Notamacropus eugenii: one gene and its partners. The protein of the gene in region 4 purifies or fractionates together with the protein of the main gene of each other region. This does not show direct contact. Links are inferred from orthologs where the notes say so. Each region holds a gene or a part of one and is shown on either strand. Other genes may lie near its edges. The genes, in order: MAP4K4, STRN3, STRN4 and ZRANB1.

What was found.
Region 1: the proteins of ZRANB1 (region 4) and MAP4K4 purify together in Homo sapiens (affinity purification with mass spectrometry; 3 studies listed by BioGRID and IntAct, with this or other methods). This does not show direct contact. The link is inferred for Notamacropus eugenii from reciprocal best matches to the Homo sapiens genes ZRANB1 and MAP4K4.
Region 2: the proteins of ZRANB1 (region 4) and STRN3 purify together in Homo sapiens (affinity purification with mass spectrometry; 4 studies listed by BioGRID and IntAct, with this or other methods). This does not show direct contact. The link is inferred for Notamacropus eugenii from reciprocal best matches to the Homo sapiens genes ZRANB1 and STRN3.
Region 3: the proteins of ZRANB1 (region 4) and STRN4 purify together in Homo sapiens (affinity purification with mass spectrometry; 4 studies listed by BioGRID and IntAct, with this or other methods). This does not show direct contact. The link is inferred for Notamacropus eugenii from reciprocal best matches to the Homo sapiens genes ZRANB1 and STRN4.

Annotation. Positions count from the first base shown.
Region 1 is NC_092877.1:173,756,279-173,763,373, reverse strand, and holds the start of MAP4K4 (mitogen-activated protein kinase kinase kinase kinase 4), read left to right. Parts: upstream 1-4,089; 5' UTR 4,090-4,177; coding exon 4,178-4,234; intron 4,235-4,789; coding exon 4,790-4,855; intron 4,856-7,095.
Region 2 is NC_092878.1:47,716,148-47,723,787, forward strand, and holds the start of STRN3 (striatin-3), read right to left. Parts: upstream 3,001-7,640; 5' UTR 2,792-3,000; coding exon 2,510-2,791; intron 2,393-2,509; exon of another isoform or gene 2,269-2,392; intron 1-2,268. UniProt on the Homo sapiens protein: Calmodulin-binding scaffolding protein which is the center of the striatin-interacting phosphatase and kinase (STRIPAK) complexes.
Region 3 is NC_092876.1:28,840,160-28,847,922, reverse strand, and holds the start of STRN4 (striatin-4), read left to right. Parts: upstream 1-4,754; coding exon 4,755-5,033; intron 5,034-5,132; exon of another isoform or gene 5,133-5,162; intron 5,163-5,286; exon of another isoform or gene 5,287-5,301; coding exon of another isoform or gene 5,302-5,436; intron 5,437-7,763. Other genes in the region: ribitol 5-phosphate transferase FKRP, read right to left, coding at 1-1,296. UniProt on the Homo sapiens protein: Calmodulin-binding scaffolding protein which is the center of the striatin-interacting phosphatase and kinase (STRIPAK) complexes.
Region 4 is NC_092872.1:281,369,323-281,376,218, forward strand, and holds the start of ZRANB1 (ubiquitin thioesterase ZRANB1), read left to right. Parts: upstream 1-3,888; 5' UTR 3,889-3,912; intron 3,913-6,896. UniProt on the Homo sapiens protein: Ubiquitin thioesterase, which specifically hydrolyzes 'Lys-29'-linked and 'Lys-33'-linked diubiquitin. Also cleaves 'Lys-63'-linked chains, but with 40-fold less efficiency compared to 'Lys-29'-linked ones.

The DNA of each region.
Region 1 (7,095 bases), on a different chromosome or scaffold from region 4:
AATCCACTCCAATGCAAGAAAAATTTATTAAATTTATTATTTATTATTATTTATTAAACACCCCACTATAAGCAAAATATTGGAGGTAAAAAGACAAAACAAAAAAGCAATCTTTGCTTTTAAGAAACTTATTTGCTTATACAACATGAAAACAATTGACTATTTCACCTCTCATTCCAATTAATTCCCAAATCTTCTACCTTTCCACACCCTTTCAAACTAGCGCAAATCTCCAAAAGACCCTAACCTCAGATAGTCTCTCTCTTATCTCCACAGATCTACTTCCCTCCACCCTACCCTTGCTTAATCCCTTCATAGATTGAAAATATATTTTGACTATGGAACTCCTACCATTTCTGCAATAAAGGAAAAATTAGGAAAAAAGTCAAGTAACATGTGTAGATGTAGACTGCTGGCCTAATTGGATACTATTGTGTTATTGACAGTGCATTGTTCTGAATGGGTGAAAATTTATTGCCTGTCTGTCCTTCTGCAAGTTGTGAGGAGGTACATTTACATTTGACTGCTGGCTAAACTCATTGGGGCCATCTCCTAGACCATCAAACTTCTGACTATTACACCTAGGATATTTATTTTCCCTTAAACTTTACTAATTCTCAGAATTTCTGGGTTTTTTTCCCCAGTCCTGTATGAGCCTGAGTAGGTCACTCAATGTGTCATTTTCACATCTCATTTTCTTCATCTGGTCCTATAAGGGCATCTAACCTTATCTCCAACAATAAGCCTTCATCTCTAGGGAAAAAAAAAGCTAGTCTCCCTATCAAAGTCCTCAGCCTAGTTTTCATTTATACTATTTCCCTTGCATAAGATAACCATCTGGCACTTAATTATTTTAGTGCCTTGCATTGTTAGTTATATTTTTATGTATTCTATATTTTACGTCTTTCACAGTGAAAAGAGTATGAAAATAAGAAGATCTGGGTTTTCATTCCAATCTGTCACTTATTACCTAGGTCAGTATGTGACCATAGGCAATTGGTTTAACCTGTCCTATCTTTATCTCTAAAATGGGGATAAATACACTCTTATCAACTCCCTCCCTAAATTCTGATAAGGAAAGAACTTTTTAAATTATTAGGAGTTATAGAAATGCGAGTTATTCCTTTCTTCCCAGCTGTATTATAAACTCCAGGAAAAGGACCCTGACTTATTACACACCCACAGGGCCTAGCACAATGCACTTCACTCTGTGGTTTTTTTGGTAACTGTTTTACTATTTCAGGAAACGTCGGGCATGCTTTATCTCATTTCCTCCTCTGTAGCCTTGTCCTTCACTACTGCCACACTGCTGCCAAACACAGGGTACATTTTCCTTTCCTTTTCCAGTTCTGTAACCTTTAACTATGAGCAAATTAAATTCTGCCGCTCTCCCAGAATGGGATACACCCATTTATTTCTCTATGATTCTACTTATTATCCCTGCCAACCAAAATAGTCCTCCTGTATTGTCTGCCTTTGTTGTTGTTCAGTTGTGACCCCATTTAGGGTTTTCTCAGCAAAGATGATAGTGTGGTTTGCCATTTCCTTCTCTAGCTTGTTTTACGGATGAGAAAACTGAGGCAAACTTGCCCTGGGTCACACAGCTAGTCTAAGAGCAGATTTGAACTCAGGAAGAGATGTCTTCCGGACTCCAGGACCAGAAAGCATTTACAGCCATTGTGCCACTTAGTCTCCCTCTATTAGCATGTAAACTCTTGGAGGACAGGGGCTAGTCTTTGATTTTTTCCTTTCTATCCACAGCAATGAGTACAATACTTGGCACATATTAAGTACTTAATTAATTCATTTTTCATTCATTCATAAATACTTGTCGGTTAATTCCTACACACAAGGAGTTTACAATTAAAATCAAACTGACAGACAAAGCATGTACATGCCAGTTAGTTGTAAAAAGGCAAAAAAGTGGTAAATGACAAGTCCAGTTCTATGAGACTTTGGAAGGGGCCATTCTAGTCCACAGTGGTCAAAAAAGACTTCTAGGAGATAGGATTTGAGCTAAGCCTTGACAGAGTCCAGACAGAGGAGTAAAGAGGTCTGTTATCGGAAGTAAGGGAGGAGAGCGTGGCCTAGAGATGAAGAAATTTGAAATTATGGTCAAAGGAAGGTGACAGATCTGTTGGCCATATGGAGTATTCTTGGTGGCAGGCAGTGGGAGATCAAGTTGAACAAGTCGGTTAGAGGACCAGATTATAGATGGTTTGGGATGACAAGCTAAGGAGTTTATCCTGTACCCTGTGGGCTACTCAATGTTTTTGAGCAAAGGAATATTACAAGGAAAAACTGCCTAGGAGAGTACAAGCATATGGCAGACACTCAATAAATTCTTGTTTAATTGGACTGAATTGCCTAACTTCCAAGTGTACTGGTAAGGTTACCTTCAGAGCCAGTTAAAAGACTTTCTGAGAAGTTCCGACTCCCTACTCTGGCCACAAAAATATTAAGGTTCACACTAATAAGGCATCACAAAGAAAAGTTAGAATAAATACATCGCGGGTCTATTTTGATCGTTGCTACTTTACTAGAAAATCCTGTGATGAAATAAACTTAAGGAAAACAATTGAGATAGAACAATATTTAGGAACCATGAGCGGAGGTCTGAGAAGAAATAAGCTCATTTCTCCAGAAGGGGAAAGTGGGAAAAAGAGAGGGTGGATTTTGCTCTCAGAAGATTCTCCAATCCTTATAGAGAACACCAGCAGGCCCAGCCAGCCTCAGTGGGACACACCCACCGCCCGAGGTGTTGGAGGGGGAAGGAAGGGGTTAATCCCGTTCTTGTTCTTTCCTGGGGAGCCCAAGTGTTTTCTTTACCGTTAGGGATTTCTTGTTTGTTGCGTTTCTTTGGGGGTGCTGCTGCTCATTTCCAGTGTTCAAAGCCTTAAGCTCGGTGCCCCGGAGCACATGGTCCGGACCATGTCAATTTCCTTTCTCTGACAATTACAGAGCTCTCCTGATTTTCACACTGGTTTTCTCTGGGATCTTCCCGTCTGGGAACACAACGCACACAGACCCTCTGCCTTCGTTATTATTTCTGTAGTCGGCCTTTAAACCCCCCACCGCAGCCTAGCATTCTTCTCCAGGTCCGGCCAGGCTGGAGAGAGGCCGGGCACGCCTCGGCGGCCCGGGACTCACTTCTCTATTGTTCCCCGCCACACCCCTGCTGAATATGGATACATCCGAGCAAGTAGCGACTCCCAGACCGACCCGGAGAAAGGAACTGCTCAGGATTTTTCCTTCTAGTTTACCCAGAAGTGCTTTGGGGCGTGTGAGTGTGTGTGTGTGTGTTTCCGCTGGCTTTTCCTGTTGGAGAAGGAAAGGGGGAGCTGTTTTCTCTCTCTTCTCATAATCTAGTTTTTTGTATCCTTTCTCTCCTCCTCTTTCTCCTCCTCCTTTTTCTCCTCCTCCTCCTGGGTTATCTTTGTCTGGCTCCCTTGGTCCCTGAACTCTCCCCAGCGCCGCAGCTCCGAGTCCTTGGCCGCTGTGGATGTGGGTGCCGTGCCCTCCGCTGCACCGGCGGCACCGGGAGCAGCAGCGGCGGGGGGGCTAGCGCCGACAGGCAGCCATCGGCGCTGCCGGGAGCCGAGGCTCGCCCAGGCCGGAGGGGAGCCGCCGTCCGAGGCCCTCCACCTTCCTCGCCCGTTTGTCTGGGAGGAGGAGGGGGGTGCAGATGCGAGCGCGGCCGCTGGGCGTGGAGGAGGCTGAGGCTTAAGCCGGGAGTGGGGGCAGAGCCTGGGGGCCGTTGCTGCCACCTCAACATGGTGTAAACCCGCCTCCGACGCCCCACGCTCCCAGTTTCCTCTCTCTTCCTACACACACACACACACACACACACACACACACACGCACACTGATAGACAGACGGACAACTCAGATCGGGGGAAATAAAGGCTCATCCCCGGGCAGCGAGCTATCCGGCGGCGGCAGCAGCGGCGACCGGACCGGAGCAGCAGCAGCAGCGGCGGCCGGACCGAGCAGCCGGAGGAAGATCCGAGCAGCAGCAGCGGCAGTCGCCTCAGCGCCGCCTCCCAATGAGGAGCAGCCTTGGGCTGGCGGGGCTCGTCTCAGTGTGAGGAGCTGCTGCCATCGACCATTAGCCCTTTATAGAAACAATTCCAATTGAATTTCAAAAGCATATATCTATTTTTTGCAAAAAGAGAAGATGGCGAACGACTCGCCTGCAAAAAGTCTGGTGGACATAGACCTCTCCTCGTTGCGGGTGAGTGCCAGCGACAATGAAGCCGCCCCCCCCCCCCCTAATCCTCCCGTCTCCAGCAGGGTCCCCCCTCGCCTGTGCTCTCTGCACCCTCACTCCTTTCACACACACCCCCCCCCCCCCCGCGCGCCCCGTGCCCAGCCCTCGCGGGTCCAGCCGTGTGCGTGTGCTTGGGGCTGGGGTGGGGGTGCCGCCTCTGCCGGCCTCCCCTTCCTGCCCCGCTCTGGGTGGTGCTGCCGGGGCGGGGGTGGGGGGGGGGAGAGTTGGAGGCTGCTGGGTTGATGCTTTTCCTTTGTTTGCATGTATTGGCATGTGCGTGGAAAAATTAGGGCGCAACAGCTGCACCCAACATCCTCCCGGCTCTAGGCACCGTTGTGGGTTTTTTTGCAAGAGCCCCCCCCCCTTCCCCTCCATCCACCCTCTACGTACACTTGGACATAAAGCAAGTTCTTTATTCCTTTGCTTTAAAGGCCAAACTAACTTCTTTTGTATGCCTCTCATCTTTCAACTCCCCTCCTAAAAAAATAAAAACCAAACCCTCCCTTCTTTCCTCTCCAGGATCCTGCTGGGATTTTTGAGCTGGTGGAAGTAGTTGGCAATGGCACTTATGGACAAGTCTATAAGGTTGGTGTCTGAGCCCTCTTTGTTTCCCGTGACATTTTGGGGGAGGGCAGGAGGCGACTTGGCTGCACCAATTGGTCAAGTAAAGTTTGGTGGGTTTCTGTATTAGTGCTTTATTTTCAGCCCCCTCCCCCCAAATATCAGGTTTACTGTCTCACTGGCCTTAAAGGACCTCATTTTCTGACTTTCAGATAGGGAAAGAAACTATTCTCTCAGGCATGTACTTTACTTGAATAAGAACGGGGGTGGGGGGGGGTGGAAGAACGGAGGGAAATGTTTTCATAAGGCAATTTCATTTTTTTTTTTTTAAGACTACCCAGTTGAGTTTGTGTAGCTTAATTAAAATTCAGGAATGTTGTAATAGGCAGGCATTGCTTACATTCATTTTAAAGCACTGCCTTGGCCTTCCTGAAATTGTCATCTTGTCTCCATGTTTGAACCTCTTCCAAGTGCTCAAGGTGCAGTTTGGTATTAACTGATGCTACTTTCTAGTTTAGCTTGGTGTACATCATGCAGTGTACTGACTGAAGGCTACCTTGATTGGAAGTGGCCTGGGGTGGGGCTGAATGGGGACAGGGACCACTGTCCAGATTTAGGCAACAAAAGCAGGAAGGATTATAGTGTGAACATTATAAAATCTGAATTCCAGGAAGAACCTGTTTGACAAGTGCATAATTAAAGCAGAAATCGGGGAGAGTGAGAAGTGTTTCACACTCATCCCAAGTCTTATTTTGTTTTTTTTTTTTAAATGAACAGTGAATGCGACAGACAGGTCTTGAGACTGCATGACTGTGCAATGAGTAGCAGCTACCTGGTGTGACTAACAGTTATCGTATATTTTAACTAATACGTGGTCTTAAAGAATAAGCTGTAGCAAATAGTAGTAGCTTGTTTTATATAGCACTATAAGGATTTGCTAAGCACTTTCCACAAAACTCTGTTAGGTAGGTAATGCATTTATTGGTATAGGATCATAGAACCTGAGCCAGATCCAGTCCAACCCCCCTCATTTTAAAATGAGCAAAGAAACTCACAGATATTAAGGGGCTTGTCCAAACCTCACATGTAAGTCTTAGAACAGGGATTGATACCTAGGTCTTCTGACTCTGGGACCAGTGCTCTACTAAACTATACTACTTGAGAAATAGGAACAAAGCCTTGAAAACTGAAAACAAAAGGTTACATTCTCCTTTCCAGTAGTTTTTTTAATCACTTATATGACAATCCATTCTTGTAAAAAAAAAAGTTGTATGGCTATTTTCTTCTAGTGAACAAATGTATTTGAACAGGAACATTTTTCGTTATATAAATATTGAAACTTGAGTTTTTGTACTTAAGGTTAGAATCACCACCATGTGCATTACTTTGTCTTATTTTAAAGATAGTTTGGACATTTAGAATCTTAAAAGCTTAGAGTATTAGAGGTGGGATTCTTCAGGTCAACCCCCTCATTTCCAAGTGACTAATCATTTTTTCTTCTTTACATATGTTTCTATCACCTGAGTTCTCTTCAGCCATGTCCAGTACTGTGATTGTGAGCCCTCTGCAGTTAACACATTAATGGATATTTGTGAATGGTCTCCATTCGTTGTGTTCACTCATCTAGGCCTTGGTAGGGCAATAGGAGGACTGTTGACTACTGTAATCTGCTTTCCATCTAGAAACAAATTTGCCTAATTCAGTTTAGAAGTTTTGGGAAAGTGTATTTTTCCTAGTGTGTTGTAACTTCCGAAGGCCCAGATGACTGGCTTAAATGGACTTAACGACATACAGAGTGAACACTCTTTTCAGGTCAAATCTAAGTTGTGAATGGACACTTCTAGATGATTTTGCAAAAGCATGTTGTTTATCTGTTTATCCAGTTCAGTTTTGTTTTTTAGAGAGTGGGGTTAGGGAGTAGGGGACCTTATGGGAGCTTATTTCTGTTAAAGAAAGCAGACATCAGCCTGGTTTTAAAATAGAACTCAATGAAAGAGAGTAGATTAACATGAACTACAGGTAGGTCATGTGGGTCTGCAGAAGCAAGGTACTTGTTAAAATCATCTGATGCTGGGTGAGGCCTTTTATTTCAACCGTTAGAAATAAGGTTTAGACATTTATTGTTACTAAAACTCTTTAGGTTGCAAGTAATTTGAATTTTTTGCCCTCCAGATTCCTTACTTGTCTCTGTCTCCCTCTCTTTTCTCCTAGCTCCCTTTGGATTTTGAAACAAATTGGTTGAATATTACATTTGGGCTGTATTT
Region 2 (7,640 bases), on a different chromosome or scaffold from region 4:
TCAAACCCCTTATATTTTTATAGAAGTGGAAAGAAACTAAGTCTCAGAGAGGTTCTGTGACTTGGGTGGGTTCACATTAACTGTGAACTAGAATTCGAACTCAGCTTGTCTGACTACAAATCCTCTGCTCTTTGCATTGTACTAGGATTTCTGAAGTGTTAGAGGCAAATAGAGGCACACAGTGGGTGTGAGCTACACAAGAGAAACAGTTTATCAGACTTTAGAGAAAAAAAAAAAGGATTGTCACTAGCAAGAGTATGGATAACTAATAATGAGCACCCAGGATCCCAGTGACTTAGTAATGTGAAGAATTCTAGAGGATCGTCCCCAAGATAAATAGATTAGAACCATCTTTTGTGGAAGATTTTCAAGAGAACATGGACAAGACTTTCCCAGAACAGGCAAGCATAGATAGGTTGCTGCAGGGGAAAAGGAGTTTCAGAAGGAGAAAGGATAGAAAAGGCAAGGTCAAAATAGATATCATAGGATTAACATCACTAACAACTCCACTAGTAAACCAGTAACATCTCTTTTGCTTGTGTTACACTACAGTTTAAGAGTGACTGATGAAATTCTTATTTAGAAAAGTCCTAAAATACAAATCCCAGGCTTGATTCCATATAAAATACACCAGTCATCAACATTTAGACTGCATTACTGCATTTCAAAACCACCAACAAAAAAATAGGACAAATGATCATACCTAATAATTCTTCCTAATGCCGTTTCAAACCGATCAACCACACTGCACAAATTTTTATTACGTACTTATGGACAACATTATTATGGACAACACTCGTATAATGAAATAAATTCAATTTCCAACACAGATGCTTTTTAAAAACCCTTTTCTAAATGATTAGTCCACTTACATGGGTAACTGTGTAGTAGACAGTATATAACACTATCTGCAGGCCACTACAAACTTTCAGCAAGTCATTTAAAATGCACAATATACCATGTATCATTATACCCCAAAGTATAAAAGGCAGAAAGCACTGTTTACATAAAAACACTTTTTAAAAATTTCATGTTTTTAAAGTCCAATACTATAAAATAAGAGATAAAATCCACAAATGTTTAAAAAAAAAAAAGCTGACAGGAATCGAATTAATCTCATAATCTTATTTTCTAAGGCTTGATAAAGACAATTTCCAAAGCAAAATTATAATTTTCACTTTAAAAAAAAATCATTAACCTCATTTTGTGACTTCACTATTTATAAGACCAAAGGAAAAAAAAACCCTATTGACTCCAAAACGTTACTGGCCTGATTAAGACATGTGAGATGAAATCTTTTTAAATAGGTAGTTTCCCCTCCATATTATCTTTCCGTAACTACTTAGCGTGCACACGTACACCGAACTACAATATTGCACGCAACATTGTATCAAAAAAACAAAACAGGTGCAATACTTTGTAGCAGAGACGCTGTCCAACCCCACCTCCCAGTCCTAAATTTGCCTTGGAAAGGGATTAAAAATAAACACGTTGGTACTGTCCACTAAAACATTCTTTCCCAACAGATACACCAACAATAGGTTCTTAAATCCAAGCTCCTATTCTGCTGCAAAAGCCTATACACTCGTGTTCTTCCCATTTTTCAGGGTGAGGCATACTTCATTTTCCATTTCCTCCCCCAAAAGGGAGTTTGAAATATGCAAATAACTGTTCTTTATTCCAGCCCGATTTAAGTCCAATCTGCCCTTTCCTCTGTTTCCTAACACCAAGCAGCAGACAGAAGGAAGTGACTGCTTGGGACTCAGGGATAAGTGAAGCAAACTTAAGAATTATTCATCATCCGAGAGTTCAAGAGTTGGCCCGAAGTTGGGGCACGTTAGGGACCCAAAGGGAGAGGGGGGAGGGGACACCACCTAGGTGACCGGGCCCCCCAAGCCAAGTTCGGCCGCGCGCAGAGCAAACTTCAGATCCTTTTCGGAGGGAGCGGGGATGCTCCGGGGAGGGCAGCTGTCAAAGGGCAGGTGGGGGGCGGGGGGAGGACCTGCTGGGAGGAGGAGAAAAGGGGAGGAGGAAGAGTCCGGCACGATCCGGGCCGGGGTGTCTGACCCGAGGGGGGGAAGGGCTGAGGGCAGCCGTCGCGCGCGCGTCCCGCCGCCAGCCTCCCTCCCCCCACCCCCGGGGGTTCGGCGGAGGGATCGTCCCGGGGCCACGGCTCCCCAGGTCGGGCCGGCGCCGCCGCAGCCGCCGGAGAAGCCCCGGCGGACGCCATACTAGAAACCAAAATGGCTGCCCCGAGGAAGCCCGCATCGCGCAGCCAGTGAGGGCCGCCGAGAAGGCTTCCCGCCGCGGGAGGGAGGAGGGGGAGGGGACCCCTGCCGGGACCTGCCGCCGCCGCCGCCGCCGCCGCTCCTCCTCGGCCCGGGCCCCCAAGGTACGTCTCGCCCAGCCGGTGCCCTCGGGCCCGGGATCCCCGCGCGGGCCCCACCCCCTCCACCCTCCCGTCGAGGTCCCGCCGTCCTCCCCACCCCGGGGTCCCGCGACCGGCTACCTGCAGTTCGGCCCGCTCCACTTCCCAGTGCGCCCGCTCCATCTCGAAGCGCGCCCACTCGTGCTGGATGTAGTGCAGGATGCCCGGGATCGTGTACTGCTGCGGCCGGGACAGCTCCGGGCCCGCCGAGGGGCCCGCGCCCTCCGCCGCCGCCGGCTGAGCCGCGCCGCCGCCGACTCCCGGCTGCAGGTTCATGTTGACCCCCGGCCCCTGCTGCTGCTGCCGAGGGGCTGCCATCCCCGGGCCGCCGCCGCCGCCGCCGCCTCCCGGGAGCTCATCCATTGTGTGAGGGGCCCCGGCCGGGGCGCGGGGGGAAACGCGGACGGCCGGGGGCGGGGGGGAAGGAGGAGGAAGGTGGCCCCGCGCGGGCGGCTGGGCGGCGGCCCGCGGGGAGAGGGGCGGGGAGGGGGTCGTTGCTAAGTGTCTGCCGCGGGTCAGAGCAGGGAGCTGCCGGCCGCCGCCATTACAGTCCCTCCTCCATCTGCCCGTCTCACTCACTCACTGGAGGGAGGGGGGGCGGAGGGGAGGGGGAAAGGAGGGTAACGTGGGGGGACGGGGGAGGGAAAGGGGTAGTCGTACAGCCGTCGCCCCCGCGCGGCATGCTGGGTAAGCGACGCTGGTGCCGCTGCCGCAAATCTTATAGCCAAATAGAGTCGGGCTCCACCGTTGCGCAAGCGCACTGAGGAAGGGAGGGGCCAAGACGCGAGGTGGGAGGAGCCGTGGGGGCGTCCCCCTCCCCCGCCCACAGCAGCTCGGCTCCCGGGCTGGGCTGCCCGGGCTGGGCTGGCTGGGCTGCCCGGGCTGGACTCGGTGGCTCCTCTTCTGACTTAATCTGGACCGCAGGACTTTCCTCTTTGCTACCTTCCCGAGTAAGCTCGTCCCGCCCGGCTGTATCCCCGCACCCAGCGCCGCGGGACGAGCGGGGAGGCCGCCGCCAGGGCCGGATTGGAGCCGGTTCTGCTGTTCCGGCGCCGCATTCCTCGCATTTCTTTGGCATTCCTTGCGTGGTTCCCGCCGCCCCTCCGCGTCTGTCTGTCTGTCACTCCCTCTTCCTCGGTTCTTGGCCCGTGCCGGCCTCTTCTCCGTTCTGGTAGTAACTCAGGCTCCGCGGCTGACCCGGAGCCCGCTTTGGTTCTTCCCACGCTGGACTTCGGCCGGACCGCGGCTCCGGCTCTGTGGGGGAGGGCCACACTTTGCTGCGGTCTGGTCTGGAAGAGCGTGCTGAGGGTGACCGGCCCGTGTGCGGCCCGTGGGAGGGGGGAAGTTTCCCTTTCTCCTTCCCTCTTCGCCTGGGGTGCCCAGGACGGCGTCGGACGTGCCCTCAGCGCTGCCCCCTGCCCTCGCTGGCACTGCTTCCCAGACTGGGCTGCGGACGTCGGGGCGGGGAGGGGGCCGCGCTTCTCCCCCGGGCTGCGAAGACCTGTTCCGTTAAATACGGCGGATAAGGTTGTTCCTGGGGTTGTAGCTTCCATGGGAGAGTTCCCTTCCAACCACCTCCCTAGAGTCTCTTTGCCTCTTTTGTATCCCCATCACCTGGCATAAGGTTTATCAGTCCCCATTTTAAAATAGGATTTCAGACTGGAAGAGACCTCAGGTCACGCAGTCCCAAAGCTTCCGTTTTACAGATGTACAAACTGAGGCCCACAAGGCCTGACTTGTCCATAGTTACGCATAGTAAATAGCGAAGGTCCGTTTGGGCTTAATCCCAAGTTGGCTTGCTCTGAATCCAGTGCTTCTTTCCAACTTCCTCAGGCTTCCTGTTCCTCATTTTTGTGTCCCTTCCTTTCTTCTCCAGCCACACCCTAGCCAAAATCTATTTTATGGGTCTCCCCAAGTAACTGGCTTACTATCTCTGATAAATTTATTAAAGTAAATGTTTGATATTGCAATGACTTCTTTACTGTGTTAGCCCCTGAAGGATAATTTGCTTGTGTAAAGAAATCTGTAAATTTTGGGAATGAATTTCTAAAAGTAAGAATTTCAGGTACTTTTCAAGGCTTGTATGATCTCAGATTGTGTAACCTTTTTAAATTTCCCCTCCCAACTGTTCTCTGGGAAATTAAATGTACTTTGCCCCGTATCCTTGAAATTTGCTTATATTTAAGTGCTTTGCCAATTTTCTGCAGCGTGGAGACAAGTAATTTGTTAACGTGAATTTGAAGACTAGAACAGAATCTCTGATATGCTTGTTTTGCTTGGAGTACTGCATTTAGTTTTATGGCTACATCATCAAATGGACCTTGACCACATTTTTTCTTGTTCAAAGGGGGATAAACAAAATGGTACAGGGCAGCACACCATATCAGGTAAAGAAAAAATGATCGAGTGGATAAAGGTCTTAAGAGCAGCTATGTGTCACAGTGAATAGAGCCCAGGGCCTTGGAATAAGGAAGACTCATCTTCCTGAGTTCAGATCTGGGCTCAGACACTTACTAGCTGGGTGTTCCTGAGCAAGTCACTTAACCTTGTTTGCCTCAGTTTATTCATCTATAAAACGAGGTGGAGAAGGAAATGGCAAACCACGCCAGTGCCTTTGCCAGGAAAACATCAAATGGGATCACAGAGAGTCCAACCTCAATGAAAAACAAGTCATCAACGAAAGTCTTCCCTTCTCCAGAATGTTCTCTGACCCTGCTTTCCCTTTGCTGCTTTCAATCTGTTACGGGCTGGGAAACCAGATAACCATTATTTTTAGAAGTGTCCACAAATCTAGAGTAAATAATCTTTTTGTGAGAATTAGAGTACTTCTCCTTTGAGTTTAAGTGCCTTCCAAAAAAGAATGGATTAAAGAATGAAGGGTGTTTAGTCTGGAAGATGAAAAGAAACATGAGAGAGAGGAAGAGGCATAAAACACAGTGTTAGGTGCATATCTAAGGATACAAAGACAGAAACAAAATTCTCCTTTCCTGGGGTGGGTGGAATAAGTCATATACATCTATAAATACAACATTAGTTTTGGGGGTAAAGGAGAGATCTCAAAAAAAGTGCTCTAGGAATAACTGAGAAGAGATGGAGCATTTTTAGCTTGAGGTTGTTGGGAGTGTAATTCATGGAAGGAGAGGGTGACACCTAAAATGAGTCTTGAACCAAGACTGGGATCTTGAGAGGGACAGCTGAAGGGGGAATGCCTTCCCAGGAGGATAATTTATGCAAAATCATAAAGGCCGAAGATGGCATATCATCTGGGGAATAGTTAGGAGCCCAGTTTGATTGGTGCATAGAATACAGTCAGTGAGTAAACACTGGGAATAGAAAGACAGGTAAAAGACATTCTCTGCTCTTGAGGAGCTCGCAATCCAGTGAGGGAGGTTGTTGTGTTTGTCCTTCGTTCTCAAAGAGGACCATGACATCAAGATGATGACATGACTTGCAGCTGACTTTGATTTGAGTGAGGAAGGGTTACACAAGGTCACCAAACTCACTTTCTTCTGAGCCAACTGGAGATGACCCAGGATGCAATGTGAGACCCTGGCCCTTTCAGGCTTAGGTCTTATCACATTCTCACTTTGAGTGAGATTCACCTGTTCAATGAATAGGCTTCTTTATGTTACTCAAGGGATGACTGATTTAATTTTTAAAAAAAAAATCAAGCTGGGAGGGGAAGACCCTCCGGGTTCCTAGGTAAAAGAGAAACAATTACTATTTAGTTATTACATTCGCTTTATACTAGGTGGGTAGAGACTTGTCTAGTCTACGAGCTCCAGAGTGAATTGAATTTAAGGCTTGATCTTTAAGCAAGAAATGTAGCCATAAACCAAAAGAAAAAAAAGCAACTTTTGGCCATGGAGTGTACCTTCCCCTAGGTAGAACACCAGAGGAGAGGAAAGGAGAGGAGCTGTTATTCACAGGTTGTGTTTGTCTTCCTTCTCGAAGAGGACCATGATATTAAGATGATGACATGACTTGCAGTTGACTTTGATTTGAATGAGGGAGGGCTGTGCAAAATCAACAACCTCTCTTTCTTCTCCTGAGCCATCTGGTTACAGTGGCCTGATATTTATCAGGACAACTGGAGATGGCCCAGGATGCAAACAGACAAGCTACATGCGGGATAAATTGGAAATAATCAATAGAAAACACTTATCTTAAGAGAGATTAGGAAAGGCTTCCTGTAGAAAGTAAGATTGTAGCTGTGACTTACTAGGTTATTAAATGCCAACCTAAGGAGTTTGTATTTTATTCTAGAGGAAACAAGGAACCAATAAATCATTAAACATATTTTAAGCACCTATTATATGCCAGGCACTGTGCTAAGAGCTGGAGATAGAAAAAAGGGCAAAAGACAGTCCTTATCCATAAAGGGCTTGCAATTTAATGGGGGAGACAACAAGCAAACAAATATATGCAAAGCGATTTGTGTATAGAATAAACAGGAAATAATAAAGAGAGGGAAGACACGGGAATTAAGAGAGAGTAGGGAAGGGTTCCTATAAAAGGTAGGATTTTAGTTAGGACTTAAAGAAGGCAAGGGAGGTGAGCAGAGCAGAGGAGGGAGAACATTTAAAGCATGGGGGGACAGTCAGAGATAATACCCAGGACTGAGAGATGCAGTGTCTTGTTCACCAGGGGAGTTGCTTGTTCAGATTTATGCATAAGAAAGTGGAGATGTAGACCTGGAGTTCTGTAGAGAAAACAGGTCTGGATATAGAGATGTCAGAGTCATCAGTGTAGAGTAATAATTAAACTTATGGGAGCCAGTGAGATCACAAAGGGGAAAAGTTTAAAGATAAAATAAAGAGGGCCTAGGACAAAGCATTGGAGGAGATGCTTAGGGCATAGAAGAAGTTTAACTAGCAAAGGTCAGATTAGTAGAAAAAGAACCAGAAAAGAGCAGTGTTTCAGAAGCCAAGAGAAAAGACACTTTCCTGAAGGGAATGGTCAACATTGTTAGAAACTGCAAAAAGATCAAGGAGGGAGTTAATTTAGAAATGACCCATCAAGTCTAGCCACCAGATCATTGGCTACTTTGGAGAACAAGTAGTAAGAGGAGGCAGCCAGCGTTCATTACGTTTACTAGTTGTTTAGCAGTAAAAGGAAGGAGAGAAAGACAGAATAATTTGAGGGAGTAGCAGGTTTAAAGAAAGGTGTTTGCTTTTTTTAAGTGAGGAGACTAGAGCTTGTTTATGTGGCA
Region 3 (7,763 bases), on a different chromosome or scaffold from region 4:
CTTGGTCATGATGCCATTCCGGGGGTAGAAGGGCCACAGGTCCACATGGAGGTGGTTGGTCTCACTGTACTGGACCCGGAAGAAGTCTCCCTCCACGGCCTTTTCCCACACGAAACCTCGCTCGTCCACCACTGAGCCAACCTCAGCCCCACGCAGCTGTTCACAGTTGGCCACGTCCTCGAGGTAGATGCCAAGGTCGACATCATAGTCCCATGGGATGATGTCGCCGTGCCGCACTGCTCCCAGCAGGCTCCCCCCTTCCAGCCAGTAGCGGACCCGGGCAGCCTCGAGGACGCCGATGACGTGCCGTGCAGTCTCGCGAAGGGCCTGCAGGCAGCAGGGGGGCGTCCAGCGGCCCTCATAGAGGTAGGAAGGGGTGTCGCCCACCACGGTGTCAAAGCACCTGGCTGTCTCCTTGCCACAGCCAAACCACTCCTGCCTCCCGCCCTCCCAGCTGACCAGTCGCATGCCCAGAGCCCGCAGGAGTGCATCACGCCGGGCACGGCCTTCCTTCTCGGCCTTCCAGCGGGCATGGGCTGTAGCCAAGGGAGGCTGCCGGGCAGGGGCAAAGGGCAGGTCTAGGAGGCGAACAGACCAGCCTCGGACAGACGTCTGAAGGAAGAGGCTGGTGCTCATGGGCCGGGCGAGGGGCAGGGAGAGGTTGAAGAGATCTCGCGTCCTGACCACCACCACAACCTCTCCATCCAGGGCATCACAGAAGGGGGGGTCTGGGGCTGGGCCGTAACTGGCTGTCCATTCGCGCAGATTCACTTCCAGTGCCAGGCAGTGCGGGGGATTTGCTGTTGCCACAGGTGCAGCCACCAGTCGGGCATGGGTGTTTTTCAGCTCATCTGCCATGCGCTGGAGCTGCCCGGGGGACTCTGCCCTCGTCCCATCAGGCACTAGGGCCACAAACTCCGTGTCCACATAAGTCTCAGGCTGGGAAGCAGCAGCTGGCCGATCGAGGGAAGGCTGAAGCAGGGCCAGCCGGACATTGGGAATGGCAGGCAGGGCTAGGGGCGGGTAGGGGAGAGTATCAGCTGCCACTACGATAGGTTGGGTGGGGTCGTGGTGCAGGAAGGAGGCCACCACCTCGGGCACAGCATTGTCAAAGGCTTCAAATTCCCGGATGAGCACAGTGACCCGAGGGTCTGGGGAAGAGTGGGGGAGTCGGGGGGGCCTGGCTGCCCGGCTCCCCCGCCGGCGCTGCTGCTGCAGCCGCGACACATAGAAGAAGACAAGGAGGTTGAGGGTAATTGCGGCCGCCAGCGCGACCTGGCATCGTGTAAGACGCATCTGGCTTTTGGAAGTGGGGCTAGCCCCAGGATCCTGGCAGCCTGTGTGGGTTTGAGAGGTGGAGGCAAGGCAGGGAAGCACTGAGGTTTACATTCCCAAACATCCCCTCCTCCTCCTCTCCCTCCCTCCCTTCTCCACAATGTACAGCCCCCCTCAACAGACTTCCACCCTCCCACTTCCTAAGACTGAGAGCTGGCAAGACCTTGGAGCTCACTTAGCCCAAACCCCTCAATTCACAGAGGAGGAAACTGAGGCTTGAGAGGGTGATTATGAGTAGCTCCTGGCTCTACAGGCAACAAAACCACATGATCTGCCTTCAAATTCAGCACTGCTATACCTGCTCCCTGTTCTACCTGACACTTCCTTCTGTCCCTAGTGGTAAACAGCTTGGGCATTTTCTGCTTAACCAATCCCAAGCCTTGTGCCTTGGTGAGGGTGATCCCTCTCTAGGCCCTCTCCTGTCCCCCGGGCTCAGCCTGGACCCTCAGAGGGCAGAGGGCCCGGGACCTATGTCATTGCTGTGGGTGGGAGACACACACACACACATGCTAGGACTTCAGTCTGCCTATCTGTGGGGTAGGGTGGCAACCCTGAGCCTCCACCCACACTGACTGCTTCTCCCTTTCTCTGTCCCTGTTCTGGGAGAGCCTCAGGCTCCCCTCAAGGAAGCCATGGGGCCTCCCTGGTCTGAGGCTCTGGGGCTGAGGTTCCTGGGGTCAGTGCCCACCCCTAAGCCTCAGGGGCAGGGACCAGTCCAAGGTCTGGACTCTGTTTCCACCTAGGACTACTGAAAGGAAATGGCTTAGCTCAGAAGTGCTCAGAAGTTTAAGTAACCCTTAAAACATCATGGAAGCTTGAGCTGCTGTTCCATCCGACTTTTGTCTGCACTGGATCTGATTCAATGGGCAGAAAGTACTCCATAAATACCTGAACCTAGAGGAGGGTCTGGACTATTGTTGGCACCTGGGCTCTGTTCTCAGAGCCCCATCTCCTCTCCAACAGAGCCCAGACTAGTCCTAGCAGGCTAAGCAAGCTCAAGGAAGCTTTCCACTTCTGCCTTTCTTCTAACCCCCCCCCCAAAGAAAACCCTAACCAAAACAAACAACCTCCTTTCCAGAATTCCAGAATCTATCAATCCTTGCTAGTTATGGGACATTGGTGTTAAGAGGCCTTCTAAAAGGATGCAGCACAGTATGGTGGCAAGCTCACTGACTACATGGTCTGAGTTCAAATCTCACTGCTAACCCGTAGTACTCCTCTGGCCTCCCAGGAGGGATGCTGGGTTTGGAGGTCTCCTCTGGCCCTAATGATAGCATCCTATGATCAATGAATCCAACCCTATCATTTTCTTGATGAGACTGAGGCATAGGAAGGGAAGGATTCTGGGCAAAGGTGCAAGGGCAGTGGGAAGCAGCCTCCCTTCTGTGAACAGATTGGAAAGGTTTGCCCCAATTAGGACCCAGGCCCTGGACTGGGTGCAGGGGCGTGAGGTGGGGTGGCAGGAAGAACCTCAAGAGGGGTGAGGCATAGTCCCAATCCTCTCTGGAAGTTCAGTCTAGGAGGGGAGACAAGACAGACACAGATAACTACTGTACCAGTATACTGCTGGATTGAGAAGGGATATTAGACGTCATCTCCAAGGCCCTGGTTGCAATCCTAGCTCTGACCCTGACTTCCTTCGTGCCCTTATGAAAAGTCCCTTTCTCTGGGCCTCAGTTTCCCCATCTGCAAAAGGGATATTCTGGTTCTCTGATGGTCTAGGATTCTGAGAAAATGAGCGTGGGCATCTGGGTGGAAGGGAAGTAATCCACTCCAGGTCCCCATCCATGCCAGTTTCTAGTCTAGCCCAGCAGGCAGTCTCAAAGCCCCCCAGGTAGGGGGCCCTAGAGCTTACCTTTTTAGGAGAGTGGTGTATAGAAATCCCCAAGGCTGATTGCTTTTCCTGCTGAGGGTTTAGGGAGGGGAAAAAGGCTGAATTAGATGTGGCTTTGGGACCCCTTTCAGGAAATGGGCATCTCACCCAATAGCATGGCTGCCCAGCATCGACATCTCCCCCTCCTCAGGTTTACATGGTATACCCCAGTGCAAGGCAGAGCTGTCCCCTCCAAAGAGGCAGGGCTGGTCGTCTGCCTTTTTCAAGGAGGGACAGTGAAGGGGGAAGGGAATGACTTGGCCTCTCCTTAAAAGGGGTGGAGTAACCTTTGGTAACTTGGAACTCCTTCCCTGTCTGCATCCGTCTGGATTTAGGAAAGGGGTGAATGAAAAGGAGGCAGCCTGATGTCCAGTAACCGCAGCAACCTGCCTCCCTGCTCCCCGCTGCAAAGCTCGCAGCTCTCCCCAAGCGCAGCATCCCATCCCGGGACGGGTCTGGACGCCCTGAACAGACTGAGAAGGACGGCCCACAGCAACCACGATTCCTCCTTAGGACCCCCCTCCTACTCTCCTCCCCGCCTGGGGAGGGGGGAGGGATCACGGCCATCACCCTCTCTTTCCCTGGGCATTCGCACACCGGGGTCTAGGTGTGGTACTAGGCCCGGATGCCATAGCAACCCACACAGCCCGGGGTGGACTAAGCAGATGCTGGGAAGGGACAGATTAGGGTGACTATAGCAACAGCTCTATGGTAGCTGCCATGGCAACTGGCCTATGGGAATTGGGGGGAGGGACAAGGGTTACTGCCGCCACCGATCCTGGCCCGGGGGAAGCAGGTAAGTGTTGCCATGGCGACCAGCCGGCGGGGGAGGGGCCGGGATCGGCTGGGGGTTGCTGGGGAGGGTCGCCTAGACCGGCAGGATTGCTATGGTAACCCACGGGGGGAAAGAGATCCGGGATTGGCGGCTTGGAGTCTCCGGGACAGCGGGGGTGCAGGGGCGGTGCTCCCATAGCAACCAGTGGGGCTGGGGGGGCGGGAGACAGGGTGCAGACTGGTGCCCGTTGCTTGGCAACCCCGTAGGGATGGGGAGGAAGGGGCCTAAGGAGGGGCTGGATGGGAGGGGGGCGTGGAGAGCTGGGCCAGTTGCCGTGGTAACCGGCGGGCCAGGAGGCGTCTCGGATTGGAGGCTGGGAGGGGAAGGATGCGGCCAGGCCGGTCGGTTGCTACAGTAACTGGAGCGAGGGGCGGAGCCAGGAGCCCGAGTCTGGTTGGGGCGCTCCGCAGGGCGGAGAGGGGAGGGGTGTCAAAGGGCTAGGACCAAGGGCAGCCTTCCCGGCGCGCGGCCGCCGCCCCCCCCCCCCCGGCGCGCGGCCGCCGCCCCGCGCGCCTCCCTCGGGGAGGTGACAGCGCGCGTGCGCGTGCGGGCGCGCGGCGACAGCTGCGCGAGGCTCCTCCTCCCCTCCCCCCCCGCCCCTCCCCTCGGGCTCGAGCGCGCGTGCGCGCGGACAACCGCCGTCCGCGAGGGAGGCGCGCGGGGCAGGCGGCGGCCCGCGAGGGCGCGCGCGCGCTCCAGCCGCCGGCCTCCATGATGGAGGAGCGAGCGGCCCCCGCCGCCGCCGCCGCCGCCGCCGCCGCCGCCGCCGCAGCCGCCGCCGCCGCCGCCGCGACCGCCCCCGCCTGCCGCCCGCCGGCCCCCGGCCCCGCCAAGGGCGGCGGCGGCGGCGGGGGCGGGGCCGGCGGGGGCAGCCCCGGGGCGGGCCCCGAGCCGCTGAGCCTGCCCGGCATCCTGCACTTCATCCAGCACGAGTGGGCGCGCTTCGAGGCGGAGAAGGCGCGCTGGGAGGCCGAGCGGGCCGAGCTGCAGGTGAGCCGCCGCCGCCCCCCGCCCCCCGCCGCGCCAGGACCCGCCCCCGGCCCGGCCCGGCCCGCCCCCCGCCGCTGCCCCGGCCCGCGGGCCCCTCACCCGCCGCCGCCGCCGCCGCCATCTTGGAGAGCAATGGCCGCCGCCCCCCCCCGCGGGAGGGAGCGGGGAGCAGGGAGGGGAGGGGGAGCGGGGAGCGACCCCCCCGCCCGGGCTCGGGCTCCTGCCGAGGAGGGCACGGCACGGGAGGGGAGGGGGACAGAGAACCCCCATGGGCGACCTCGGCTCCTGCTCCCGCCGGGGAGAGAAGGGGGACAAAGAAGACCCCCGCCCCCCGCCGCGGGAGGGGCGGAGTGACCCCCTTGCCCGGAGGAGGCGCTTGGGGGGCGGCCCCGGGCGGAGGAGGGTAAGAGACCCCGGCCCTGAGACGGCTTCCACTCACCCCACCCCGTACGGGTTAGGGGAGATCCCGGGGAGGGCTGTGGAAGGGGAGCCCTCGCTCGGCCTCTCGGCAGCTGCGCCCCCTCTAGTTGTTTCTGACTCTTGGGGGTCGAGGGAACATTCTCAGAAGATCCCAGCCGTGACCCTTCTTCCTCCAGCAGCCCCCCTGGTGCCCTGAATTTTCAGTGGGGGTCCTGATTTCCCACACCCGCTGCGCCCCCCGCAACATAGGTGGGAGGTATTGGTTGATGTAGGACCCCTGGCATAGGGGAAGAGGTGGCCTGGGAATGAGGGGCGTTGTGGTCACCGCCCCAGAACGAAAATCAGAGGGTTAAATGTGGGGAAGGGCGACTTGGGCAGTGGCTGCAGGGAGGAGGGCAGGACCCCAGGACTAGCAGTATTTGTAAAGCAGTCTGTTGTGGGCTCATTGGCCCCCTGGTGTGGGAGAAGAGTGTTAGATCTGGGATCAAGTTGGGGCTCGTTTTTGTGACCCTGGACAAATCATTTCACCCTCCTGGGCCTCAGTTTCCTTATCTTTAAGTGGAGGGGTTGAACTCGACAGTCTGAAGTCCCAGCAATACAGCTATGAGCTTATGTGTCTGGTGGGAATTTGAGAATGAGAGACTTAGTGGAGCCTCAGGATATGGGGCCCCCAGAGGCAAAGACTGAGGCCATTGGAAGCGAGGCGAGTGGGGGCCCCAGCATGCAGAAGGGATGTGCTTGTCCAGGCAGCGCTTGGGTGCCTGCTTCCTGCAGCCTCCGGGCTTGGCTGAGAGGGAAGGGAAGACAGGTGAAGCAGCCCCTGCCTTTGATGAGCAGGAGGCAGAGTGGGCACAAGAAACCCCAAAGAATTGGGGAGCAGGGCAAAGACTGGGGGTGGCATAGCAGAATACATATCAGGCCTCTGACACTCACTGGCTGTTCGACCCTGGACAAGACTGCTCTCTGCCTCAGTGTCCTCATCTGTAAAATTGGAATAAGAGCCCCTGCCTCCCTCCCCCGAATCGCTGGAATCATATATGTGAAGTGCTTTGTCAGCCAGAAAGAGCCATAGAAATGCTGCTGCTTTTTATTTAAGCCCCAACAGTTGTGTAGACGGTTTAACCATTTTAGGTGACTTTTTTTCCCCAGAGAAAAATGTTCTATCTCCATTATGTACAGGCTCCTGAACAGATTTCACCTTCTTGTGCCCATTCAAGATGATTGTCATGCACTTTTATTCATGTCATACAGTTGGAGCACATGGGGCCATTCCCCCATGCCCTGGGTCTACTGTTCATGGGCTTCATTGGGTCTTTGCTGTTGCTTCCTGCTGTTTGCAGGGTGCCTGCCTGGAGCAGCTTCTCCTGACTCCTTTTCATCTGCACTTGGTGGGGAAGCCAGCTACCCCCTGGTTCTGCTAGAGGGCCCTGTTAGGGGCTGCTGGGTGGTCTGGTCACAGAGGACTCTGGACTCCCCTGGAAAGGCCAGGGCAGAGCTGGGGCTGGAGCCTGTTCCTCTTTGTTCTTCACCAAGGGGTGTCCAAGGGAAGTTGAGGAGGAAGGAATGGGGCAGAGCAAAAGGTGCTGGCGGTCTCATTCACTGACAGGGCCAGGGAATGGACCTGGGATTTCACTGGGACAGGGAGCTCCCAGAGGAGAAAACTGCCAGTGCCACCATCTCCTCTGCAATTTATAATTTGAGAGGGCTGATGGAGAGTGGGAGGGGGCATGACTTGCCCACATGGTCCTAGATGGTCTGACATATCAGAGGCAGAATTTGAACCCAAGGCTTCCTCTGGCTGAGGCCATTCTGCCTGTCACCTGGGTTCTTCTAGTTCTCAGAGGCATCCCATGACAGTTGGGCTGAGGGCCAGTCTTAAGGGTGTGTGGGTTGGGGGTGGGCATAGCATCTGTCACATGAGTAAAGGTGGAGGCATGGGAATGATGTGCCCCTTCTAGGTGTTTCCTGGGCCTCAGGGACCTCAGACCAAATGGATGGGAAATGTACTGCTGGCTAGAACAGCTGGGATCTCCAAGGAGGGAGAATGTGTTGGCATTCAAAAGACAAAGTGATGGGGCAAGAGCCCTGGACTAGGGAGTCCAGGGACCTGTGTTCAGTATTCAAATCCCCAATCTAGCACTCACTAGCTTTGTGACTAGGAACATCCAGTTGATCTCTGAATGTATTTCTCCTTTCTACTAAATGTGGATCAATAAATAAACAAATATTAAGAACCTTCTATGCGCCAGGCACTAAGAATCCAAAGGGGGAAAAATGAAAGTCCTGTCCTAAAGGAGATACACATATGTA
Region 4 (6,896 bases):
AACTTCCTCTTTCTTTACTATAGCTCTCAATGTTGTTCATATATTAAAAACCTGAAAAAGACCAGGTGTGGTTGCTCACATTAAATGGCCTTCGGGTGCTGCTGGGAGTGGAGTATAGGAAGGTGGACCCAAAGGCTCACTGGCCTCCAGAATATTTTTTATGGGCATCAAGAAGCTTCAGGGACAGATAAGTGTGTCCTGGCCTGGGTCACCATTTTGATGCCTCAAAGATGCTGGGAGAGTTCTGTGGCCTCCATTTGGAGTTTCCTCTAGTAATGCCAGACCTACTCATTCTTCTCCACCCATCCTGGGCTACTCTTGTCCATGGCATTCCTCCCATATTTTTGCCACAGGAGGTCCACTCAGCATGCTAGGAGCCTTTTCCTGGATCCCTTGACATGATACACCAATGGTGCTTGAAGGCTGTCCAGTGGTTACTTCTCACTTTTGCTATGGGGTTGACCAATCCATCTTTTTTCCAACAGGGCAGATGTTTCTCTGTTGACATATTTTATGCTCATTTTCCCACATAATTCCTCTTTTGCTCTGTGCTGCAGCCTGCTCATACAACCTTGAACAGATTCTTTATGAACTTCTGGGTGAACCTCAACTTCAGTGCTTCAGAAATGGGGGTTTTAGGCCTCACAGCCATAAGCAACACTGGAAAGATATAGATGTGGGTTTCTGTCAGGGAGCAGCTTGAAGTCATCCAAAGCACTGCAATTTTCTGAAGACAATCCAGCCTTCTCTCCTGCTGTTCAATTCTAGGTCCCTTGTTATCTATCTGCAAGGTCTTTAATCCCTATCCCTTTTCCTCTTCTCATCCTTATTCCTCTCCTTGTTTACCTCCTATTCTTGTCTAGCTATGTACCTATGTATCTATCTACCCCCTCTGTGTGGTCCAGCCAACTGAACAACAGGCATTCTTCATCCATTGGCTTTTCTTATGGTTAGGCCAAAGTGGTCATCCACTCCCAGCTACCACTGACCCCATTTCTGTGCCTTCTTCTCTTGACTCTACCTTATCACATTTGTACTGTCATTGAAACAGAAATAGAAGCCACTAAAACATTGTGGGTCACACATTGACTTAAGATAACCATATATTAATATTACATCTTATTGTATCTTTGTTTTGTTAACTATTTCCCAATTAGATTTTAATGCTGTACTCTGGCATGTTGTGGGCCACACCACATTTTTTTCTACCTTACTGACTCCCCTAACACAACCCTAGCTGGAAGCACTAAAATGTTAAGAAATATCTTATTGGGGTTTTGGATGGAAATCTAGACAAATGGCTAGCCAATTACCCCCTGCCCCTGACTTGGATGAGAAGAGCTTCATCCCTCCATTTTCCATCTCAGTCAAGCTTAAGTTGGATCCTTTTTTTGCCCAATCACTGATTGAGGTAAATTCATATAAAAACAATGGAAACACCTACCATTTGCAAAGCATAGTATTAGGGGATGGAGACAGGAAAATGAACTATGACCCAGTTCCGGCCTTCAAGCATCTTATGGTCCAGCAGGGGAGAGAAGACAGGCAGTCATACAGACTGTGATTCGAGGCAGAAGCAAGGGGCAAAGTGCTATGAAAAAATGCAGGCTGGAGAAAACACTTTCAGCTTGGGGGAGGGGCTTCATTAAATAAGCCGTTGCAAAGTGCCCACTATGTGCCAGATGCTAGAGATTCAAAAGGAAAGCCTCTTGGGATCAGGAGAGCCCACTGGAGGCTGGGGTGCCTGGGCCTTTGCAGAGGGGAGGGATGATGGGGAGAGAGGATGGGGTCCTGGTCTGTGGAAGTGGGGAGTTGTCCTCTTGGGAAGAGTAGAGCAGGGAAAGGGAGAAGGGTGAAAGAAGGAGAACTGGAGCCAGGTGGTGAACCACCATGGGAAGCAGATTCTTGCTTATTAGTCATGGGAAGCCAGAGCAGAGTTTGCAGGGGACCCTTTACCTGGGATACACTATCTTGCTACTCTTTTTTTCCACCAAGACTGATGGTATTGATTTGAAAAGTACATCGAAATGTACCTGAAAATATCACTAAAGTAACTGTGAGAATTGGTGGTGGGAATGGAGGTGGCCCTATGATTTCCTAAGAGTAGGAAATCCTCAGTGTGGGAATTTCATCCACTGATGGAGATCAGCGACTCAACTGTATAACTTAAAGAGTTTTAGAGAATTGCCTGGGGTTCAAAGCAGTTAAATGACTTGCCCAGAGTCACACAGCTAAGTGGGCATCAGAAGCAGGATTTGAACCCATCTTCCTTAGGCCAAGGCCAGCCTTCTACCTTCTAGGACATATTGCTGCCTTTCTGTCATCTGGGCTAAATGGGAATACGTCACGATGCATCCATACCTTGCTCCTTTTTAAAAGGCTGGTCAGCCCCTAGGAATGGCTTTAGTGGGGGGAGGGGGGAGGTGTTAGCTTTTGTTCATCAGTATATACAGTGCTACAGGAGTAGTATGTCTTGGGATCAAGCTTTTAGAGGTAGAAAGTACCTTCCATTCAATGTCATTCAACCTGCTTACTTCATAGACAAGAAACCTGAGGCCCAGAGGTGTTAAATCACTTGTCCAGAGACAGACCCAGGGAAAGGAACTTAGTGTGTTTGTGTGATTATGATTCCAGCATTCTTCTCCACTGTAGTGCATGAGAATAATCCAAGAACCAAGTACAGCCTTGGGTCCTATCTATCCTCTTTTGGAGCCAGCAGGCTGCCTCGGCTCTCAACAGGCCTTTCTCCTCCTCCTCCTCCTCCTCCTCATCTTCTCACTTTTTTTGGGACTCCTCCATGACTGGAAATTTATGAGCTAAGAACTTCTTTAACCCATCCTTGCTGTTGTTGTGTTTGTCCTTTGTTCTCGAAGAGAACCATGACATCTAGATGATGACATGACTTGCAGTTGACTTTGATTTGAGTGAGGGAGGGCTGTGCAAAGTCACCAGCCTCCTTTCTCCTCCGGAGCCATCTGGGTCCAGTGGCCTAATATTCATCAGGACAGCTGGAGATGACTCAGGATGCAATGGGAGATGCTGGCCCTTTCAGGCTAAGGTCTTATAGCAATCTCACTTAGAATGAGATATATCCATTCAATGAACAGGCTTCTTTAAGTAGTTGCTCAAGGGATGACTCCATCCTGCTGACCAGCCCTGCTGACCAATCCCCAGTGGTATCCTGCCTGTGACATCAGAGGTAAGTCAATAAGCTGCACCCAAGGGAGAACCCCCTTCCCTCTTTATAGATCTGTGTGGCCCTCAACTATGTCAAGTTGTCCCAATGTATGGGCTGTCCTAGTGTGGAGGTGGTGATGACAAGCTAGGTGCCCCACCCATCAACTGGGGAGAGCTAGATATCACCTGGGGGAGGCAATTTCAGGCAGGACCATTGTTGATGCCTGCTATGACTGCAAGACCCCACCCATTCCCTCCATCAGGTTCCAGGGACCTCTAGGGTTGGGTCCTTGCCCCTCCCCCCACCCTGGGTATCCCATGTTAGGCCTTATGCCTTCCTTTGTGTGAGTTACAACCCGCCTAATAAAGGCCTCCTGCTTTCAACATCACCGACTGGTCTGACTCTTAGGTGAAAATCTCTGTAGGTCTCCAAATAACTGGAATTGACAAGGAAGGAAGGTTACCAGTGCTGAGTTCATATACTTAAGCAGAGAGTAAAATATGGAAAGTATGAGAAACTTAGGAGTTGCGTCCCCTTGAATGACATTTAGAAGAATTAGGTTGTTCCTATTTCTCAAATATTAGCATTGTTGTTCATGTTTCAGTATAAAGTCAGAAAGTGAAATGGCTTAATTCAAAGACAAACTCAGTTCTAGGGCTGGTGGTGGTATTCTGTCTCCACTGTCATCAAATTCTGTCATTGGAAAGACTTCCGGATCAGACTCTCTGATTAAGGTAGGAATCATGAGAATCAAACAGACTGGGACTCAGTTCCCTCATGTGAGGGAACTTATCAGTTTTGCTCCAGTCTGAATGCTTCTTAATCTCCTAGGTCAATGTCCCTCACCTTGTTAAAAAAAACTTAGGAGCCTTTTCTAAAGCTTGTAAGTCTCTTAACGTGTATTGATGACAGAAGCCCTTCCAGTTTTGAGTGTCTCTCTCATGGTGCCAGCATCATAGGTCTGTGTATATTGATAGCTGGGGACGCCAGAGGAGGGTACCCAAGGTGGAGAAGATCCTTGAAACCCTGCAATATGAGGGTTGGCTGAAGGAGCTGGGGGTGTCTAGTTTGGAAAACAGGAGCTCTGGGAAGGGGACAAGTATTTGAAAGGTTGTCAAGTGGGGCAGGGACCAAAGGATGAACTTTGTTCTGATGGGCCCAGAGGGGAAGCTGAAGGATGGTGGATGGGAGTTGTAAGGAGGCAATCTGAGGCTTGAGATCTGAATGAGCTTCCTAACTGATTGAATTATAATCACTCAATCAACAACCTTCATTAAGTGTTTACTCCAGGAGGTCTCAGCAGGAGGAGGGAAGCGCTTCTGGCCGAAGTGAGGGGGCTTCTAACTATGTTATAAGTGCTGGGAAAGGAGCGGGGGGGGGGGGGGGGGGGGGGGGGGGGGGGGGGAGCGGTCGTGCATAGTGTGGGCTCTCAACTTGTGTGCTTCACAGTTTCCCTTTAGTTCACTTTATTTAATGACCTTTAATTTTATTAAATGAACTTTATTTTAAGTTTTCAAGTTAAAATACAAACAAAAATTTATAGGTGAACACCAACTGAAGACGCCTCAAGTGATTTCTCGTAGGATCACATTGACTGAGAAATGGCAGATTCTTCACTCCATCATTATACTGATTAGGGGGATATGGAGACTTATTTTGGTTAGACTTAAGAGTGAATATGTGGTTTTACTTGTCAGGATAATCCTGTATTTTGGCTTCTTGAGGCTCCCCACCTGCAAACTTCCCTGCTTATGTTTAGGGTACCACCCCCCTTGTTGAAGCCTGGACTATTGCAATAGCCCTCTAATTGGCCTTATTGCTATCTAGTCTATCCTTTCTCCCAACTACTTTCCATGTAGCTACCAAAATTATTATCCTAACGCATGGGTCCTACTGCGTCACTCCCCAGCTTTAGAGTCCCTTAGTGGTTTTCCATTGCTTTCTGATCAATCTCAAGTTCCTTAGCTTGATAGTGAAAACCTATTGCCCTCTGGACCCCATTTTCACTCCAGTTTTATTTCATATCACTCCACCTCATGTGTCTTTGAGTTTGCACCCTAGGGTTTTTTTCCCTGAAGGTGAGCTGTGGATTCTTTGAATTGCCACTGTTTTCTATGTTCAGAAATTCTGACATATGTTCTTGCGGAAGATCTTTCATCCTTAAGTTATCTCTATATTCAGTCTGAGATAATGTGTTTTGCTTGAATGGAGATCATGTTTTCTTTGAATGTTAACTGCTTTTTGCTTCTCTTCTAGATTTCCCTTTACTTCTATTCTTTAAGTACCTGATCTATTAGTCTCTCTTGCATTTGTTCTATGAGGTTTGCCATTGTGGATTCAAGCTTTTCTGTTCCATTATTTCTGCTGTGCAAGTCATAAGTTTTGCTTTCTCTCTTGAACCACTTAGGAACATACTGTTGTGCTACCATGCTGTCTTGGGAATTCAAGAGGTTCCTCTCCTTAATCAGGTACTGATTAACTTTTCTTTGTCTTACAATATTTATTCAGAGGTGTTTGGACTCATCTAGATAATCTGGAGGTCATGTTACATTATTAATGTCTTCCCTATTGGCTTGTATTAAACATCTTTAATGGAATTTTTATCTTCCTTAGATCTTTTGTAATTTCAACCTTTTCCCCTTATATTCTTGTATTATTCACTTTCTGACTCCTTTCCTTTTGATGGCTCTTTCCTTTTGATGGCTCTTTCCTTAGGGACCAGGCCTCAAAGTTATCTCAACCTCTTCCTACGCTTGGGAATTCACTTTTCATCAGCCTCAGTTCCTACCCTATGTGATGGGTCTAAACTAGCTACAACTGGATCCCAGTCCCCTTTCCTTAAGATCTGGTAAAGTTCCCCATATAACCTGGACCCAGTTTCCTTTATTATTCAATTCTCAAGCTGAACGTTGTTCTAGCACAGGGCATTCTTACACTGCCATACCAGGCAAAACAAATTTCCCATTTTCCTGTACCTCTAACTCCATGGCATAGGTTGGAGGAGTTGTTCTGTTGCAAGCCTTTGGGTTGGGTTTATACTACCATACCAGGGTATGGTAGCTGATAGAAGGGGGACTGAGAAACCATTTGGGTATTAGAAATTAACCTTTTTTTTTGTTAGTTCATTGGGCTGTTACCTCATTAAGGTTCTTGGTGTCTTAGAACATGGAGGTAGCTGAATTTACTTTACTTTTTATACATAATTCCTGTTTGGGAGGGATTGAGTTGTGAGGAATGGAGAAAATGTTTAGTTTTCCATCTTGATGATTATGGGACCTGGAACTCCTGCGTTTTGGTTCAATAATTCTAGGATGTCTTCTTGTAGGATTTCTTCAAATATAGCAACCAGATTGATTGGATTCATATGGTTTTCTGGAAGTCCAATGATTCCTGAACTATTTCTTCTCATTCTGTTTTCTAGGTCTGTTGTTTGTGACAGTAGCCATATCATCTATTTTTTTAGTCTAAGCCCTTTTCCTACTTCCTACCTCATCTTTCCCAGTCTTTGGATTTATTTCTGTTTGCATTCTTTTTATTCCATTCTAATTTCAGGGTGTTCAGTGCTTGGGTTAGGTTGTCTTCCTTCTGGTCTAAGCTATTTGACTTCCAAGTGCTCTCATTTTGTTCTTTAGCTTTGGTTTCAACTCTTCCTTCATTTTTTCCATTAACTATGAGAGTTTTTATCTGGTGTTCTATTAATAATTATTGTGAAATTATT